3 linked regions of the Kluyveromyces lactis genome follow. The protein of the gene in region 2 purifies or fractionates together with the protein of the main gene of each other region. This does not show direct contact. Links are inferred from orthologs where the notes say so. Each region holds a gene or a part of one and is shown on either strand. Other genes may lie near its edges.

Region 1 (4,241 bases), on a different chromosome or scaffold from region 2:
AGGGTCATGTTCCACTTTGGTGGTATGAGCGAATGATGCTCTTCGGTATCAGTGGTTTAAAATCTTATTTCCACCCGGAGAACGGTGAGAACATCGTTCAATTAGGAGAAGCTACTGCTCTACCTTGCTTTCTTGAAAGTTTAAAACGGACAATGTTGTTAGATAAGACTGGTAGAAGGATTCTACAAGACAGACCAAACATCACATCGGAAAGCCTTGACATGGAACGATTGTCAAAGATGGATAAAAATTCAGTTGGCTATACGTACTACAAATGGTTGATGAAAGAGGGGGTCTCTCCAGACACAAGGGCACCAGTTACTTATATCGATGATCCTGTCCATGCTTTCATATTTAAGAGATATAGACAATGCCATGACTTTTATCATGCAATAAATGACCTACCAATCATAATCGAAGGTGAGATTGCAGTTAAAGCATTTGAGGCATCAAACATTGGTGTCCCAATGGCTGCACTTGGTGCTCTATTAGCACCATTGAGATTAAAGAAAGTGCAAAAGGAAAGACTTTACTCCATCTACCTCCCATGGGCAGTCAAAGCAGGGCTGAATTGCAAACCTCTCATCAATGTCTATTGGGAAGAAATCTTGGATAAGGACATAGACGAACTAAGAAGAGAATTAAACGTCACACCACCTCCAGATTTGAGAAAAATTAGAAAGGAAAGAGCGAAACAAAGAAAACAGTTCAAGCTTAAGTATGAGACCTACGAGAAATGAATTTTAAACCCTCAATCCCCAAATCGTGATGGCTGGCGTAAAGTTGCTTTGTAAAGTATAATGCAGGGTCATTCTGTGGATATAGGAACCAGGAAAAAAGAAATAGAAATACGTACGTAATGAAATAAACGTCTTCAATTGAAGAGGAAAAAGATCGCCTTTGCTTGATCGATTAAAAAATATATCTATAGCTAACATCCTTGCTACGTACAGTACCACTGCCTACACTTTTATTTGCTAACGCGGTATGTTAAACAATTATGATCGAACTTCAGTACGATGTCCTCTTTCCCTCGGTGTGCTTTGCAGCCTTAAAACTGTTCTTTTTTCTTATCACTGCGTTTAGCGGCCAAGAAGAAGAAAAAAAAGAACAAAGTTAAAAACTATCCAATTTAAGACTTCTGACCAGGGCATCTCATCTCACCCCATAATAAAAGAGAAGCAGTGTCTTGTGAGGGTTTTAAGCGGAAGGGGAGGATAATCTGATATTGAACATACAAGAATCTGTTACTTCAAAGCTCTTATAGCGCTTGTGTTTAATCCTCTTTGTCCTTTTTTTTTAACTGGAAGAAGTCACTGACGCTTTCGACGAAGTGTAAACATTCAAGTTTTCTTTCGGACTCACTCGGTTGTTAACGCATTGCAACTTTTGCTTACAAGACTTTGAACCTATTTTGTCAGGTCACAATTAGCAGAAAGAGCTTACGAGATCTTGCCATTTATTAGGGCTTCGATCAGCATAATATAAGATATGTCTGAATCTAACAATATGCATGTTTCTGGGGATGGTGCCAAACAGTCGGTATACACTGAGAAGAAACGCGTGAAAGTCTATGTGTTGGAAAATAACGAGTGGAAGGATACTGGGACAGGGTTTTGTCAGGGGACAGTGGAAGAGCGTACTATAGATGACACTCAGACTGCAGAGAAAATGGCGTATCTTTTGGTGGTCGATGAAGACTCCGATGACCAGGTCTTACTTAAGTCCAGGCTCGAACAAAACATCGAATACCAGCGTCAAGAGGAAACTCTTATTGTCTGGAAGGATCTGAATGGTCAGGATATAGCTTTATCCTTTGAAGAAAGCATTGGATGCGATTCTTTATGTGAATATATTTGCTTTGTACAGAAAAACATTGAAAGCCGCATCTCTTTGGTAGCTGTAAGATCGACAGATGATGGAATCGGGTCTGTTCATGAGATAATAACAGGACCGGTCAATCTTCCCTCAAATGTACCAAACCAGACAGAAGAATCCCTTTTAGAAGCATTGAAAATTCTAAACGAAAACACGTCATTTGATTATCTGCGAAATGAGACAATTCAATTTGTTATCAACGATCACTATTTAGCAACACTAATCAGATCATTCTATCAGTCAGAAGAATCTAAACTATATCGAAATTTATTATTATTGAGCAACATTGTGAAAACTCTAATATTGTTCAACAGCAAGGAGATTTTGGAAGAGATGATCAATGATGAAAACTTTTTATGCGTTTGCGGTATATTGGAATATGATACTGAATTTCCAAACTCAAAACTTAACCATAGACAATATTTGAAAGATAAGGAGCCAAATTTCAAGGAAATGATTCCCATCTCAGATCCAACGATCAAATTAATGATTACGCAAAATTTTAGGCTTCAATTTTTGAAAGATGTGGTTCTAGTTAGATTTTTGGATGATCAATCTTTCACCTTCATATCTGACCTAATGTTGTCATACCAGAATTCCATAATAGATTTCCTACAGGAGGATAGCAACAATTTTATTAATCAAGTCATCTCGATGTATAAAGTTGAGGAGGATTCAACCGTCACCCCAGATAAAAGAAGGGACGGTATAAAACTATTACATGAATGCATCCAACTTTCCCAAAACCTAAATTCAATAGAAAAAACCCTTTTCTACAAATTTTTAATCAAGAAAGGGTTGTTCCAAGTCATCCAATTTGCATTCAACATGGAAACTAATAACGATATTCGAATCCTTGCAACGGATATAGTTGTGGGGCTCATTGAACACGATATCCAACTAATCCAAAGTGTGCAAAGTGACGAAGTCACCTTATTGAATGACGAGAATTCAGATATTGATTCTACAGATATGTCTCTTTTACTTATATTGACCAAGATCCTGCTCACTGATAAGAGTCCGGGATTGAAGGAACAGTCCTTCCAAGCACTTGTAAGTTTATTAGATCCTGAAGACTATATTGTAGATGACTATCAAAACCATGATGACAATATCGACACACGAATTGATAACATGCTTCAAATTCAGAATGGCAAAAATCATGATGGATTAGACGGTGAACGAAATCACGAGAAATTTCAGCTAGCTGAGTACTTGCAATGTTTCTATAGACAAGTTGCGCCCTCCCTTTTCCATTGCTTCATCGATGGATCTGTTAATCTCTATGAATGTGATCAACAGTTACTCATAAAACTTGTGAAACTTCTCAATCTCATGATTCAAGGTCATGAGGCATCAATATCTAGACGATTTATTCTCGAGAATGGAATTTTGATCAGGCTTATATCACTTGCTTCAAGCGATTATATCCTTCAATTAAGGCTTGCTGCAGTGCGTTGTTTCAAAAACATCGTATTTTTAAATGACGACTTCTATCTTCGATATCTTATTGGTAAGAATCTCTTCGATCCAATATTTGAAGTTTTTAAGGAAAATTTGAACGAAGATAATATGGCTAATTCTACAATTTTAGATTTCTTAAAGTCGTTAAACACTCAATTAAAAGTGGTTGAGCAGGAAGATATTCCGCTTTCCGGTAGTAAAAGTTCAAGGAATTTCATGCTGTTGAATAAGTACATCTGCGGTAGATATGGTGATATATTACTGAAGGCAGATTACGTTTCTTTCACAAGAGAAATGATGGCTATTTATCATGAGGAAACCCAAAAGCTTGCTAGTTTATCAACAACGGAAACTAGCTTTGATGAAAATGATAATACTACACTGGAAGTTGAAGTATGACATTCAGATATATCTGAAGATGTGATGCATTTAGATGCATATTAATAATAAGGTTAAAAAGAAGGAGGTTGTTGTTTTATATAGGGATAAGTATTAAAAAAACTAGGATAATATTCAATTCAAGGTCAGATCTTGCATTCTCTAATTGAAAAACAAGACTTTGAAGTTATAGATGGGAGAAAAAGAATAAGAGTTATATGATCTGTGTGTTACAGATTTACTATTTTGAATGATCCAATCACAATGTGCAATGGATTCTCCGTTAGTCAACTAATAGCCAGAAGGAGAAGGTTCTTATAGTTTTGAATCAAAAGCATAATTCAACTCTTTAGGATAAAACTCTCTCGTTATTTGTGTGCCTACATGCCAGGCACCACCGTCGACGACGTGAATAGTTCCGGTGATGTATGAAGCTGCAGGAGAAAAAAGGAACACTGTCGTGTTTGCAATATCAACTGTTGTGCCAAGCCTTTGCAATGGAATCATCTCTGACAGATCTG
Region 2 (8,373 bases):
TCAATCTATAAATACATATCGGTTTGTATGTAAAACGAACGTACACTCTTCGCTAAAATATTGACAAGAATTGAATCTGTGTACTGCCCTTTTTTACAGAAAGCTCGTATAGCGCTCATTTGAAAAGAACATGGCTTTAAGAAAAACGATACACCTATTGGTTCATTACGCTTTTCTCTGCTTGTTTCAATTGTTCTTGTAGTTTAATGGTATATTCTTTGTGAATCTTTTCAACATCTTGAATAACCTTTTTGACATCGTCATTCTTTTTTTGTAGATGCTTTAATTCTTTCATTATTTCGCCACGGACATGGCCCAAGGATTCCTTCAGGGCAGAGTGCTTGTAATCTTCGAATACTTTCTTTAGGTCTTTACAGACTGCTTGGCGTGTCTCTGTTGTGATTGGTGGGAGAGAAACTTTAAGCTGTTGATCATTATTAGGAATTCTCTCGGGGTTTAAATTTAAACCTGCTGCCATAATGGCACTAACAATATTTTTGGTATCTTTAGGATCAAAAACAGTCACAATAAGAGCATTCCTACCCTTCAAACTGGTCGCAGCTAGTTCCGTAAACTTTTGTCCTTCTTTACCTACTCTCAAATCATTGAAAATTGTTGGGCTTGCGGTTCCAACTTTTTGCTCAGCCAATTTCCTTTTGTGCAATTCAAGAGTCTTCTCAAATTGTTTAGTAGCGTCGATGACATACTTCTTGACATCTATTATCTCGATAGGCTCTTCATTGTCAGCCTTTCCTGGTTTTCCACTTGTCTTGCCTTTTTTCTTTGCCAAAAGGGCCGCATAAGAACTAAATGGGCGAGCATATGCTAAAGGAGCAGCTGTGGTACTTAGTAAACCGATTCTAAACGCTTGTAGTGACATGACTGGTCAAAATCACTGTATTTATTGAGTGATTATACATTGGAATGTTCAATTCCTTCCTTTTGGTGCGAAGATATTGTTATGTTCATGATCTCAATATTAAAGTCTTTTTTCCTGTCGTCAAGAATTCATTGTGCAAGATGGTGGTTTGCTTGTAAATAGTCCAAGAGAAAGTATAAGCAAGATGCAATAGCTAACTGAAGGTGCTAGACAAATGAGAGTTACAAATAATTCTAAACTTTCACAATGGAATGAACTAAGGGAACTGTTTGTATCATATATTTAGCTATTAAGTTGGAAATAGATCTTTTTGTATACCACCTATTGAAATTATTCCAAAACAACATTCAAAGATCTACACCTAAGGGAAGGATATTAAGTGTAACACTAGTAGTAGTGGTAAACCTCTAAAATCTTGTTGTGCTCGGTATCGGTTTTTTTCATTAGAAATTCCTGATACGATATACATATTTAGTACCCGACTCGTCTGTAGTATTTCTGTGGTTTAGGATCTTAAAGTGACATTTGTTTCTCAAATAAAGAGAATTCTATTAACTGCAACTAACAAAAACGAAACTAGAAGAAGTTTCTATATTCCAAATGAGTTACTAGAAAAATTTGCATTCGTTATATAGACATATATCAAGATAATATACATGAAATTAGATAAAAAATGTAAGCGTTATAGGTATACGCCGTTCGGATACGTGAATAGAACTGAAGAAATTAATGGAACTCATTTGAGAAAGAGTTCAACTTCTCATAAATGGGTTTAATGCACGAACAGTCAAGCATGGTAACGCCATACCAATTTCTGCTCTTAAGAGTAGAGGAACTTGTTGAAGTTCTCTGATCTCTTGAATATAGTTGTCACCTTCTTCTCTTGTGACAGTGGTTTCGAAATATCCTTCCAATGCATCTGCGTTGTTGAACTTTCGCAAATTCAAAGATGGTGGTGTCAATTTCAATTCTTTCAATTCTTTGCTAAATTGCTCACTAATCAAATTGTTCTGCAAGCTGTTTTGATTGAAAGCAATTTCTTTACTGCTGGAGTTAAACTTATTTTTAATAGAGTTTCTGTAAGATTTTGGATTCTGTTCGTCAGATGGCACAAAAGTCGCACTATCAACACCTTTCTTCCAGTAGAGTTCTAAGACTCTCTCGGCAACGTCAAATTCTGCTTTAACAAGAGGTAACTGATCACCGTGAACTCTCTTTTCAATACCTAATTCAGGGATAAACACATCAAAAGAAGATTCATATACTTGCAAAACAGTGGCCAAAGTTAGTACTTGACCGTTTTGATTCCCCATGTCATTTGTTGTTTTGCAGAGGAGTAAATGGATAGCCTGTTCCTGTGCGTGATGTGCACAATCCTTTTTGAAATTACAATATTCAGACGTGATTTTTAAAGATTCAATAGTTTCTTTATACTCTGTACCATTAATTATGCTCTTCAACTGCCTATGAACCACATGATCAGAGTATCTTCTCAAAGGAGCTGTGAAATGTGTGAACAATGGCAAATTCAATGAATAATGCGCAAATTGGTCAGGTTCGACTTTACCAGATATGAAATATTTAGCCGGTGTTAAGGTCTTGGATAAAAATAACTCAACCGCCATTCTTGTAGTGTTATTATCTATGGCAAGAATTGAATTCAAAACTGATTCAGAACTTGTTATATCCATCTCAACGCCAAGTTTTTCAACTTTCTTTTGGAACGTTTTCAATTTGGTAGAAATTGGTTCTGGTTGTCTTCTCAAGAAAGCAACATCTCCCAGGGAAGTGAACAATCGAGTAGCAACGGTATTATTCACTTTACGCTCTATTTCCGATAAAAGGGTCAAAGCTTTAGAACGTTGTAAAATATTCAAATCAACTTTAACCTTCTCGTCATCGAGAGATTCCAAAAGGGGCAAAGTCCTGTATAAATCAGCATTTTTGGAGTTAAGCCTACAGCGGTAAAATTCTTTAGCCACTGCCTCAAGTTTCTCAACAAACTTTGAGCCCGAAGCTGAAGATCTCTCCAATTCTTGATTAAGCCTGTCATGTGTCAATGAGGTGTTTGGCTTGACACGAGTCTCGCCTATCCACGTTGTAACAATATCAAAGTTTTCAGGCTTCAGTTCATATATTATACTGACAGTGTTTGACAGTTTCTCGGGCTGCAAACTTAAGAATTCATTCAGAGCGGCTGGAAGCAAACCAACAGTCTTCTGTGGCATGAAGACAGCGCTAGATCTTTTCCTAGCTCTTCTATCCAAAGATGAACCTTCTTCAATATGGACTGTTACATCAACAACATGAAATCCTAATTCAAGGTTACCGTTGTCAGTGTCTCTTAAATGGACCGCATAATCAGAAACTTCACCAGTTTCTGAAATGGCAATGACATTTTCATAAGTACGCCTTGTTTTGCTTTGCTCTTCTGAAAGCAATACAGGTGCAAAACTATCTCTCTCCTTTGTACGGTCCTGAGGGTCTAAATATTCATCACTTAAGAAATTATTGTCTCTCAAAATTGAATCAATCTCAGTTTTTGGATCGTTCACATCGCCTAATTGCGAGACAAGAGTACCAAAGGGATGCAAAGAAGTGATTGGCCAGCGCTTGATGCTAGCAACGAAAACTTTATTCAGATACTTATCAGCATTTTCGACGAAGTCCTTAGGCGCCTGTTCTATCGAAATGGCAATTAGAGGAACTTTCTTATCGGTAGGTTTGAACCAAACAATTTTCGGCTTATTTGGCTTATTCACATCGTTGTTCGCTTGTTGAGATGGTCTTAATAGACCCAAAGTACCGCTAAATAGTTGGCCCGGAATACGGTCTAACACCGCGACTACGTGTCCAGCGTACAAAGGCCTGTAATCATCATTAATCTCTTCTTCCTCGACCAATAATAAAGATTGACCTTCAACCTCTACGTCATCATTCTTCTTTTGAGTTGGGCGCTGCTTCAATGATCCTCTTCTTTTGATGGAGCCAGATGAAGATCCCAATGTAGCATCTGATCCTTTATTTTCACTAGAGCATGATGCGCTTGTAACAATACTTGTTGAAGCATCATTATGGTAATCATCTTTAGAGTCTAGTGGAATAATATCTTGTTGAGTGCTTGCATCTTTTCTTCTCTTCTTCTCTTCCTTTTCCTTTTTCGATTCCCAGACATCGTCAACCATCAAAAGCTCAACGGCAACAAGATCACCTTCCAAAGCTCTATTACGATCCTTCGAACCACAAATGAAAATATCGGCGTCCAACACACCGTTGGTCGAAACCCAGGCATCCGATCTATTTTTCTTGTTGACCCGTAGAATACCTGCAACCAATTTGCCTTCTTCAATTAGTTGAGGAATGTTAGCTTGTGGCAAATAGGGTGCGAAAAGTGATTTACGGCCATTGGAGTTTTGCTGGCCATTTGCCGAGGTAAAACTGTGGGAAGAAGCATTGGATCCACGTGATTTATGACCTGGTTGGAAGACAGGTGGTGGTTCCAAACCTGGGTGGCCTGAATATTCTCTTGAATGCGTTCTAGAGTGATGAAATGGCGATACCTGCTGTTGCTGTTGTTGCAACCTCCAATTACCGTCGATACCTTCATTTTTCGAATTAGTGCGACGATGCGGGGTTCCAACGGGTATGAAATCATCATTGTTTTCCTTTTGGTTCAACTTAGCAGGTGGAAACTGGAATGATCTATTAGGGGACATATTTGACTGAGTTCTACGGTGACCTAGATTCTTAGACTCGGTTGTTGGAGATCCAGGGAATTTGAAGCTCGTTTGTTCATTTTCATCGACTAACTTAGGGATATCTTGAACATTGTCAATTTTGATCTGAGGTCCACTTTCTCTTTTTGCTTGTTCTTCTGCAGCGGCTCTCTTGGCTTCATTCAAACCAATGGATTGTCTTCTGGAATGTCCATATACGCTCGTCTGAGAGCCAGTTCTTCTGTGTCCACCTGCAGCAGGATTTTGTTTGTGATCGTTATTGTTGTAGAATGCAGAACCACTTCTAGAATGAGACCTGCCTTTTCTATTACCTGAATTTGGGGACAGTTGATACTGCACGTTGGGTGGTTGCGGTAAAAAGTTGGCGGCAGATTGTCCCTGTACGCCTAAGTTTCCGCCACTACTATTATTCTCGATCTGTTTTTGTAGAGTAAACTGCTCAATCATTAAATTCGTAAGTTCAGAAGGAGATTTCCTATGAGCAATGTGAATTTGCTTCGGAGTACCCTTACCACCGGTAGTCTGAACAAATCTTTCTTGTTCTGGCATAATAACTTTAGGTTAATTTTGCCCTTTAGTACTGATATTGTTGTAAATATTATATTTTGGTATCCAGGTCACAGATTCTATAGTTACTATGATTCCGAGATAATCCGCTAAGATTCCGCCAATAAATTCAAGACGTAGTTCTATCAATCAGTGCCAAAAACTATAAGTGATTGAGCCGTTCAAAGGAAAATTTAACTAAAAGCCAATAATGTATATCGTCAAAGAAAATAAAAAGTCCCAATTTCAAATTAGCAATAAAACGGGAAGATCGACAGAATGACAAAAAGAGATTTCAAAAGGAGGGGAGAAGCTATTTCACTTGAGGATAAGTCAAATTGTAAAACGTACAATGTTTGGTGAAAGCACAAGTAAATGATATCACTGATGACAAAGCTTTCGAAAACCTTGTATCACACGGTATTGCAAAACTCCAAAAAAAAAGAAGGGAACTAGAAAGAAATATTCAAGCCCGAGTAAAACGAAGATAGATAATCCTAAGAAAACAGAAAAAAACACACTCGCAGAGAGAAAATAACCCTCTATAAACTATAATTGATAGCTTTGCAGGACTTTGAAGCTGTTGGTCCGTTCTGTTTTGGGGGATCAAATTTGGCTTTACTCCTTAAATTGATCTTTTCTTCCTTCTAAATTCAACTTCTTCAAAAATTCATTTTATAAAATCAGCTATTTCCACTTTTAGCAGTTTCTAAAAAAAATCTTTTCTGTTACCCTCCACTTGCAAAAAGTCAAATTCGGAACAAGTCAGTTAGATTGGACGCCAAAGTCAAGAAGTATGAAAAGTCCGTCCATAGCTCAACGAAACATTATGTTGAACGATATCGTTCGTCAGTTCAACAAGTCTATTGCAAGTAGAATATTAAAAAATTGTCACTAATTAGCATGTTTTTTCATATTATTTATTATATTCTATCTAAAACGAGGTGGATCCACACTGTTTTACATGTAATAATATATGGAGTATTTTTAGCCTCACAAGTAATGTCACCCGGACATGTGCCTGTTTGAAAGACAAGGCATCCTCATATACAATGAAGCTGCTTGAGAGATCTTGGGCATGCACCATCGAAAGTAGCACTTACAGCGTGACTGTCGTATACATGTCCAAGGTTGTCTCCGTTTCGCTAAAAAAAGACTTTATTTCTTGAAGAGTTTAGGTATTTGTACATTTATATAGATTGGGAATTTAAAGTTCATGCAGGTCGATATACTTATTCGTAATTGGATGGATATCTGTAGTCTGTCAATTCATAATAGTTTTCTTTGATGTTCCTGACGCTAACAAATCTGTTCAAGATATTTCCAGACCCGGCCTTGTCATTAGTACCGCTCATTCTGGCACCACCAAACCATTGTTGAGCGACAACAGCCCCGGTAGATTTATCGTTGATGTAGAAGTTTCCTGCACTGTATTTCAATTTTTCATCAGCGATCTTAATAGCCTCACGGTCACGGGCGAATATGGATCCCGTTAAACCATATTGGCTGGTGGAATCAACCAGTTCACACACGTCTTCGAATTTTGCGTCTGGATATTCGTATACAGTCAATATTGGACCAAAGAATTCTTGGCTTAAATAAGGATGTCTTGGATTTGTAGTCTTTATGATTGTTGGTTGGATGTAATAACCCTTAGATTTATCATGGAAGCCTCCGAAAACAATTTCCAATTCTGGATCGTTCTTGGCATCGTCAATCACTTTGGCCAATTTATCAAAACTACCTTCATGGATCACCGGGCCAATAAAACCGTGTAAATCACCACCGTTAATCTTAGATGCCGATGTGTTCACTGGTTGAACTTCAGATAAGACACCTCCTAAATCACGAAAAAATTCCTCGCTCTTACTTTCGGGCAAGTATACTCTGGAAGTAGCAGAACATTTTTGACCTTGGAACTCAAATGCACCTCTCAAAGTGGATAGAACAGAATGAGGAATGTTAGCACTTGGATGGATCAAGTGGAAATTCTTACCACCAGTCTCACCGACAATACGCGGATAGTCTCTGTACAAACCATTCACAACACCCTTCTGGATATCTCCATATAGTTGCTTGAAAACAGCAGTAGAACCAGTGAAATGTAAAGCAGCGAATTCCGAGTCGCTCAAAACTTCCTTGGTGACTTCCACTGCGTTACCTGGGACAAAATTCACAACACCATTTGGCAAACCTGCTTCTTCCAAAACAGTTAATAACAAGTAGTTGGACAAATTGGCGTTTTGAGAAGGTTTCCACACAACAGTGTTACCCATCAACGCAGGCGCACCGATCAAATTACCAGCAATGGCAGTGAAATTGAACGGAGTTACTGCATACACAAAGCCTTCTAAAGGTCTGTATTCAGCCCTGTTCCATACACCGGGAGAAGATTCAATGGGTTGTTGGGCGTACAATTCATTAGCATACTTCACGTTGAATCTGAAGAAATCAGCCAATTCAGTGATGCAATCGATTTCTGCTTGGTATACATTCTTACCTTGACCCAACATAGTGGCAGCGAGCATGTCATAACGGTATTTGGTACAAATCAAATCAGCTGCCTTCATGAAAACGGAGGCACGCTCGTAATATGGCAATTTGTACCATTTGTCCTTAGCTTGTTTAGAAGCTTGGATTGCAGCTTTAACATCTTCATTAGTAGCCTGAGTAACGTTAGCTAAAACTTCAGAGTGGTTGGCTGGGTTCAATTGCTGGAAAATGCCTCTCTTACCACCGTCGTCGTTATAATAAATACGTTCGCCGTTAATGACTAAAGGAACGTCCAAAGAGGAGTTTTTGAACTTAGATAAAGAAGCCCTTAGTAAATCCCAATCAACCAAATCCTTACTACCGAACGCTTTAACTGGCTCATTGCCAATTTGTTTAGGTGGTTGAATATGGGATAGCTGCGCAACGCATCGTTTTGAAGAGCGCAATAGCTGAATACGAGATGATAGCATTTTATACTGCTTTTTCTAGCGAATACTTGTGATACCGTTAATACAACTCTTTCAATATTCCAAGAAGTGAAGCAAATATAGTAATGTGATGATATTTTAGACCTCACTATTTATCTTCTTGTTAAAGGAGCTTTGTTTGATCCCCTTATATAGAAATCATGCAATTTTCAAATACATACCAAAATTACTGGACTGAAATGTTCAACATGAACATATTACATATATTCATGGAGATATCAATGAAGAT
Region 3 (4,245 bases), on a different chromosome or scaffold from region 2:
TTATGAAACAGCCAAAAACATCCCATTATCGTGTAACACACCGCTATACAGTCAGACAAATCAAGTCTCCATGTTTACACCACCGACTGATCCGAAGAAATCCGTCAAGGTAAAGGTCTCACAGCTCTGTGAACTATGCCATGCGAGAAAGGCAGTGATGAAAAGACCGAAGAATTTACAACGGATCTGTAAAGAGTGTTTCTTCTCTGTATTCGAGACAGAAATACATAACACCATTGTATCAAACAACCTTTTTCACCGAGGCGAACGTATTGCAGTCGGTGCTTCTGGAGGTAAAGATTCCACGGTCTTAGCATACGTTTTAAAGCTTTTGAATGATCGCCATGATTATGGAGTTGAGATTGTTCTTTTGAGTATTGATGAGGGTATTGTCGGATATAGAGACGATTCGTTAGCTACAGTGAAGAGAAATCAAGTACAGTATGACCTTCCGTTGGAAATAGTATCTTATAAAGATTTGTACAATTGGACAATGGATGAGATCGTAGCATGCGCTGGCATAAGAAACAGTTGTACCTATTGCGGAGTCTTCAGGCGACAAGCTCTAGACAGAGGAGCTGCCAAGCTAGGAATCAAACATGTAGTTACTGGTCATAATGCGGATGATATGGCGGAAACCGTCTTGATGAACATTTTACGTGGTGATGTTGCCAGGCTGGAAAAATCAACATCCATTCTTACTCAGAGTAGTGGGTCACCGATCAAGAGGTCGAAGCCGTTCAAGTATTCATACCAAAAGGAAATTGTCTTGTATGCCCACTATAAGAAATTAGACTACTTTTCAACCGAGTGTTCTTATGCCCCGGAAGCGTTTAGAGGTACCGCTAGAGAACTCATGAAGAACCTGGAAGCAATCAGACCAAGTTGCATTATCGACATCATTCACAGCGGAGAAAGCTTGAAGCTAAAACCAAAGCGCGCTAAGAAGGCACCACCACCAAGTCACATGGAAATACGGCCCGATGGCTCAGTGTCATTACAAAATGAGTTTATCGATGGAAACAGATGCGAAAGATGCGGATATCTTTCCAGTAATAAGATATGTAAAGCGTGCATGCTTTTAGAGGGATTGGAACAAAACAGAGCTAAGATCCAACTTGAAAAAGATTCAACTACTGAGGGAGCTGCAAAACTATCAAGAACTCTTGAGAAATTACAGTTCTGAACTATTAGCTGCTCATTTTAGTACTCCTTCCTGCATGTCTTTACTAAATATTACCATATTTATAATTATTTTATTTACATCTCAAAATCGTTACAGTTGCACATTTTTTTTTGATGAATGCAATTTAACTGCAGTATTTCAGATATAATAGAAGTTCTAATAATGCATGATGAACAATACAAAGACGGAAAATACACAACGGTGTAGGATAACAAAACACGATAACGGTCGTTGAGACCGCATTAACAATTTAACAACAATGAGGTCTTTTATAAAAACTCATAAAAGAGCTTCATCTTTAGATAATAGCCCCAGAAAATCTTCCAACGAAAGTCCCGAAAACAGGAGAAACTCACAAGGTTCTTTTGGGACTGAGCTATCTTATCCATCAGGGTACCCACCTAACAATGTTTTAAAGCAATCTTCAAGTTTCGAGCCGCTTCATAAACTTACTAGTAACAAAATTTTCAGTTCTAAGTTGTTTAAGAAAAGCTCCAATGGAAAGACCAGTTCATCGAATACGTCACCACTGCTAAGCCGGTCTGATGCAGAAACATTCGCTCCTTTACTTTCCAACACCAATAACATACCAGCCATCAAGGGTACCCGAAAGCATGAATGGGGTGATAATGATGATACTTCAGAATCTGTTATTCTTTTGAATAGGACTTCAATGTCATCTATGTCCGATACTAACCAAGACACGCCGGATACTGAAATCGTTCGTATACATCCAAATTCCCAGCAAGGAAGTATTTTATCGTCACAAACGTCTGCGGATAGAACACCGAGACTTTCGCTTGAGGAAGCAGAAGACGTTGAAGATTATGACATAACAAAACATTCCTCTCTGAGTAGGAGCCAATCCCTCAAAAAGAAAAGAAATAGACTTGCCAGAATCCATTCACACGATGATATAATGCATTTGAGGAGCCAAAGTTCATTTTCAAGCGACCTATTGGGTAGCGGGTTTAGTCCTATACCTGAGAAATCGCCAAACCCATCACCTCTACCAAAATATGAAAGATCTCCTAGAAAGGAGAATAACATACTTGACAGGACAAATCTTTTCGACCTGCGAAAGATTTCAGAAGCTTCTTATACTGCAGAGGATGAATCCAATTTCAATAGGCCATTTACAGGAGTTGCAGGAGGTGAAACTATTCAAATTACAACTTCCATCAAGGACAGCTTCGTACCATCACCGGAGACTTCTCATAAAATAAGATTCGCCGCAGATAATGTAATTCCATTGAGCAAAGCACAAATTATAGAAAATTCTGCATCCGAAGCTGATGAAGATGATTCAAATGAAGAAGACGGAGAGGAGGAATCAGATTCCTCTTCTAGATTTTCATTCGAAAACGGTAATGATCTGTGTGGAAGAACAGCTTCTTTGAAATATTACTCAACTGAAACAAATACCCCACCACTGTACGTGAATGATATATATGAGAACGATAATTTTGACGATGAAATGAACTACTTTGATTCTAATGAAGAAGAAGATGAAAATATGGACCATTTATATGGTGGGGACAATACAGCGTTATCAGGCTTTGCAGGAATGTGTACGTTGTCAGACGACGAATTTGATCGCACAAATGCAGCAATATCACAAGAATTATCATCGCACTCGTCCCAGTCGTCCAAAGGATATACTGAAAGACAGAGAGGCTTTTCCAAACGCGATTCAAACAAAAGTTTTGAAGATGGGAATGACGATTATGACCCGTCAAACCATTGCCGATCGTATCATGATATATATAACTTAAGTGACGAAGAAGAAGCGCAAACTATCAACAAGAAAGTTACTGAACCTCGTAAAAGAAAAATTTCTGATGGGACTAATAAAGTTACCAAATACGCTGACATGTTTTTGCTCAGTGACGATGATGCGGAAAGTGGTTCTCAAGATGAAGATTTCGGAGACGAGAGTCGCGAAAACGATGTGAAGTTCAACGTCAATAGTGAGCGGTACGGGGTTGAGCACACGAATTTAGTGACAACTCAGAATCATAACTTAAATCCTATCAGCTTCAAATCTCCAAGCCGCTTCTTGGATGTTTCAAATGTGAATCATTCTCCTTTGGCGTATAAAACTCCAGAGAGAAATATCCTAAAGTCACCTTTACAGCAGCCCATAAAATATCATGGAGTGAGCAGCTTACTCGATAATGACATCCAAGGGACGATGAAAAATCTATATTATATAGATGAAACCGACGAGGATAGGTTTCTTGAAAATTCTGCTGAATCAGAAGAGTACTATTTGGATGAAATAAATGGGATACCGGAGGATTTTGAATTTTCGGACGATGAAAATATTATGCGGAATCTTTCACCTTTAAGTAGGTTGAATCGAACAAAACTTTTAGCCTTTAGAAGGACACATAGCTATTCTGACCGGCCACTGGGTGTATTGAAAGATAACACTCCTCTTAATTACAAGTTGGAAATAAAAAATAAAACAGTCACATTTTTTGATCATAATTCAATTCATAGGTCATATTCTGAACCTTTCAGTTCATCATTACTCCATGATTCCCGAAAGTCTGAAGATAATTGCGAGGACCGAATACTCGATAACAAAACTCTTGCTTCACCTGTTACCCCCAACAGCTCATTCACGAAGCCTTCTCCAAGCTTTACACAGAATTCTTCCCTCAGCCCAATTCAGGAATCTACGACCTCATCAGACGCATCTCCCAAGATATTATAAACAGGACATTTAAAAAGACAATCTGTAATATTACATACCGTACCATCTCATAGCCGGATATTAACTAACTAGAATAATATATATGTTATTGTGTTAGTGTTGTATCCCCTGTATTCTCTCCATATATCTTCTCTGCTTTTCAGGAGACATTTTATTATGGCGCAGTGCATTCTTTTGTCCATTGAGCAAAGGTCGTGGGAGTGGTGGCAAGGATTTTGACTTAGATATAGTTCCCGGTTCCTTTTTATTGTTTGAAGTTAGCTCAAGTATTAAGCCCTTGAGTTCTTCTGCTGTCTGTTCGCATAAATCAGCAATTTCTGCCGATTTTCTTTGAGAT

The links. Proteins that work in one complex are often made in the same cells at the same time.
Region 1: the proteins of SSD1 (region 2) and PSY2 purify together in Saccharomyces cerevisiae (affinity purification with mass spectrometry; 3 studies listed by BioGRID). This does not show direct contact. The link is inferred for Kluyveromyces lactis from reciprocal best matches to the Saccharomyces cerevisiae genes SSD1 and PSY2.
Region 3: the proteins of SSD1 (region 2) and ZRG8 purify together in Saccharomyces cerevisiae (affinity purification with mass spectrometry; 3 studies listed by BioGRID, with this or other methods). This does not show direct contact. The link is inferred for Kluyveromyces lactis from reciprocal best matches to the Saccharomyces cerevisiae genes SSD1 and ZRG8.

Annotation. Positions count from the first base shown.
Region 1 is NC_006040.1:1,588,593-1,592,833, forward strand, and holds PSY2 (Psy2p), read left to right. Parts: upstream 1-1,491; coding exon 1,492-3,741; downstream 3,742-4,241. Other genes in the region: ubiquinone biosynthesis protein COQ4, read left to right, coding at 1-740; SPS19 (2,4-dienoyl-CoA reductase (NADPH)), read right to left, coding at 4,036-4,241.
Region 2 is NC_006039.1:903,641-912,013, reverse strand, and holds SSD1 (mRNA-binding translational repressor SSD1), read right to left. Parts: upstream 5,167-8,373; coding exon 1,633-5,166; downstream 1-1,632. Other genes in the region: RRF1 (Rrf1p), read right to left, coding at 155-880; PUT2 (1-pyrroline-5-carboxylate dehydrogenase), read right to left, coding at 6,396-8,126. UniProt on the Saccharomyces cerevisiae protein: Can suppress the lethality due to deletion of SIT4, and partially the defects due to BCY1 disruption. Is implicated in the control of the cell cycle G1 phase.
Region 3 is NC_006038.1:55,035-59,279, reverse strand, and holds ZRG8 (Zrg8p), read left to right. Parts: upstream 1-1,445; coding exon 1,446-3,908; downstream 3,909-4,245. Other genes in the region: NCS6 (Ncs6p), read left to right, coding at 71-1,186; FIR1 (Fir1p), read right to left, coding at 4,002-4,245. UniProt on the Saccharomyces cerevisiae protein: Involved in the integrity functions of RAM, a conserved signaling network that regulates maintenance of polarized growth and daughter-cell-specific transcription.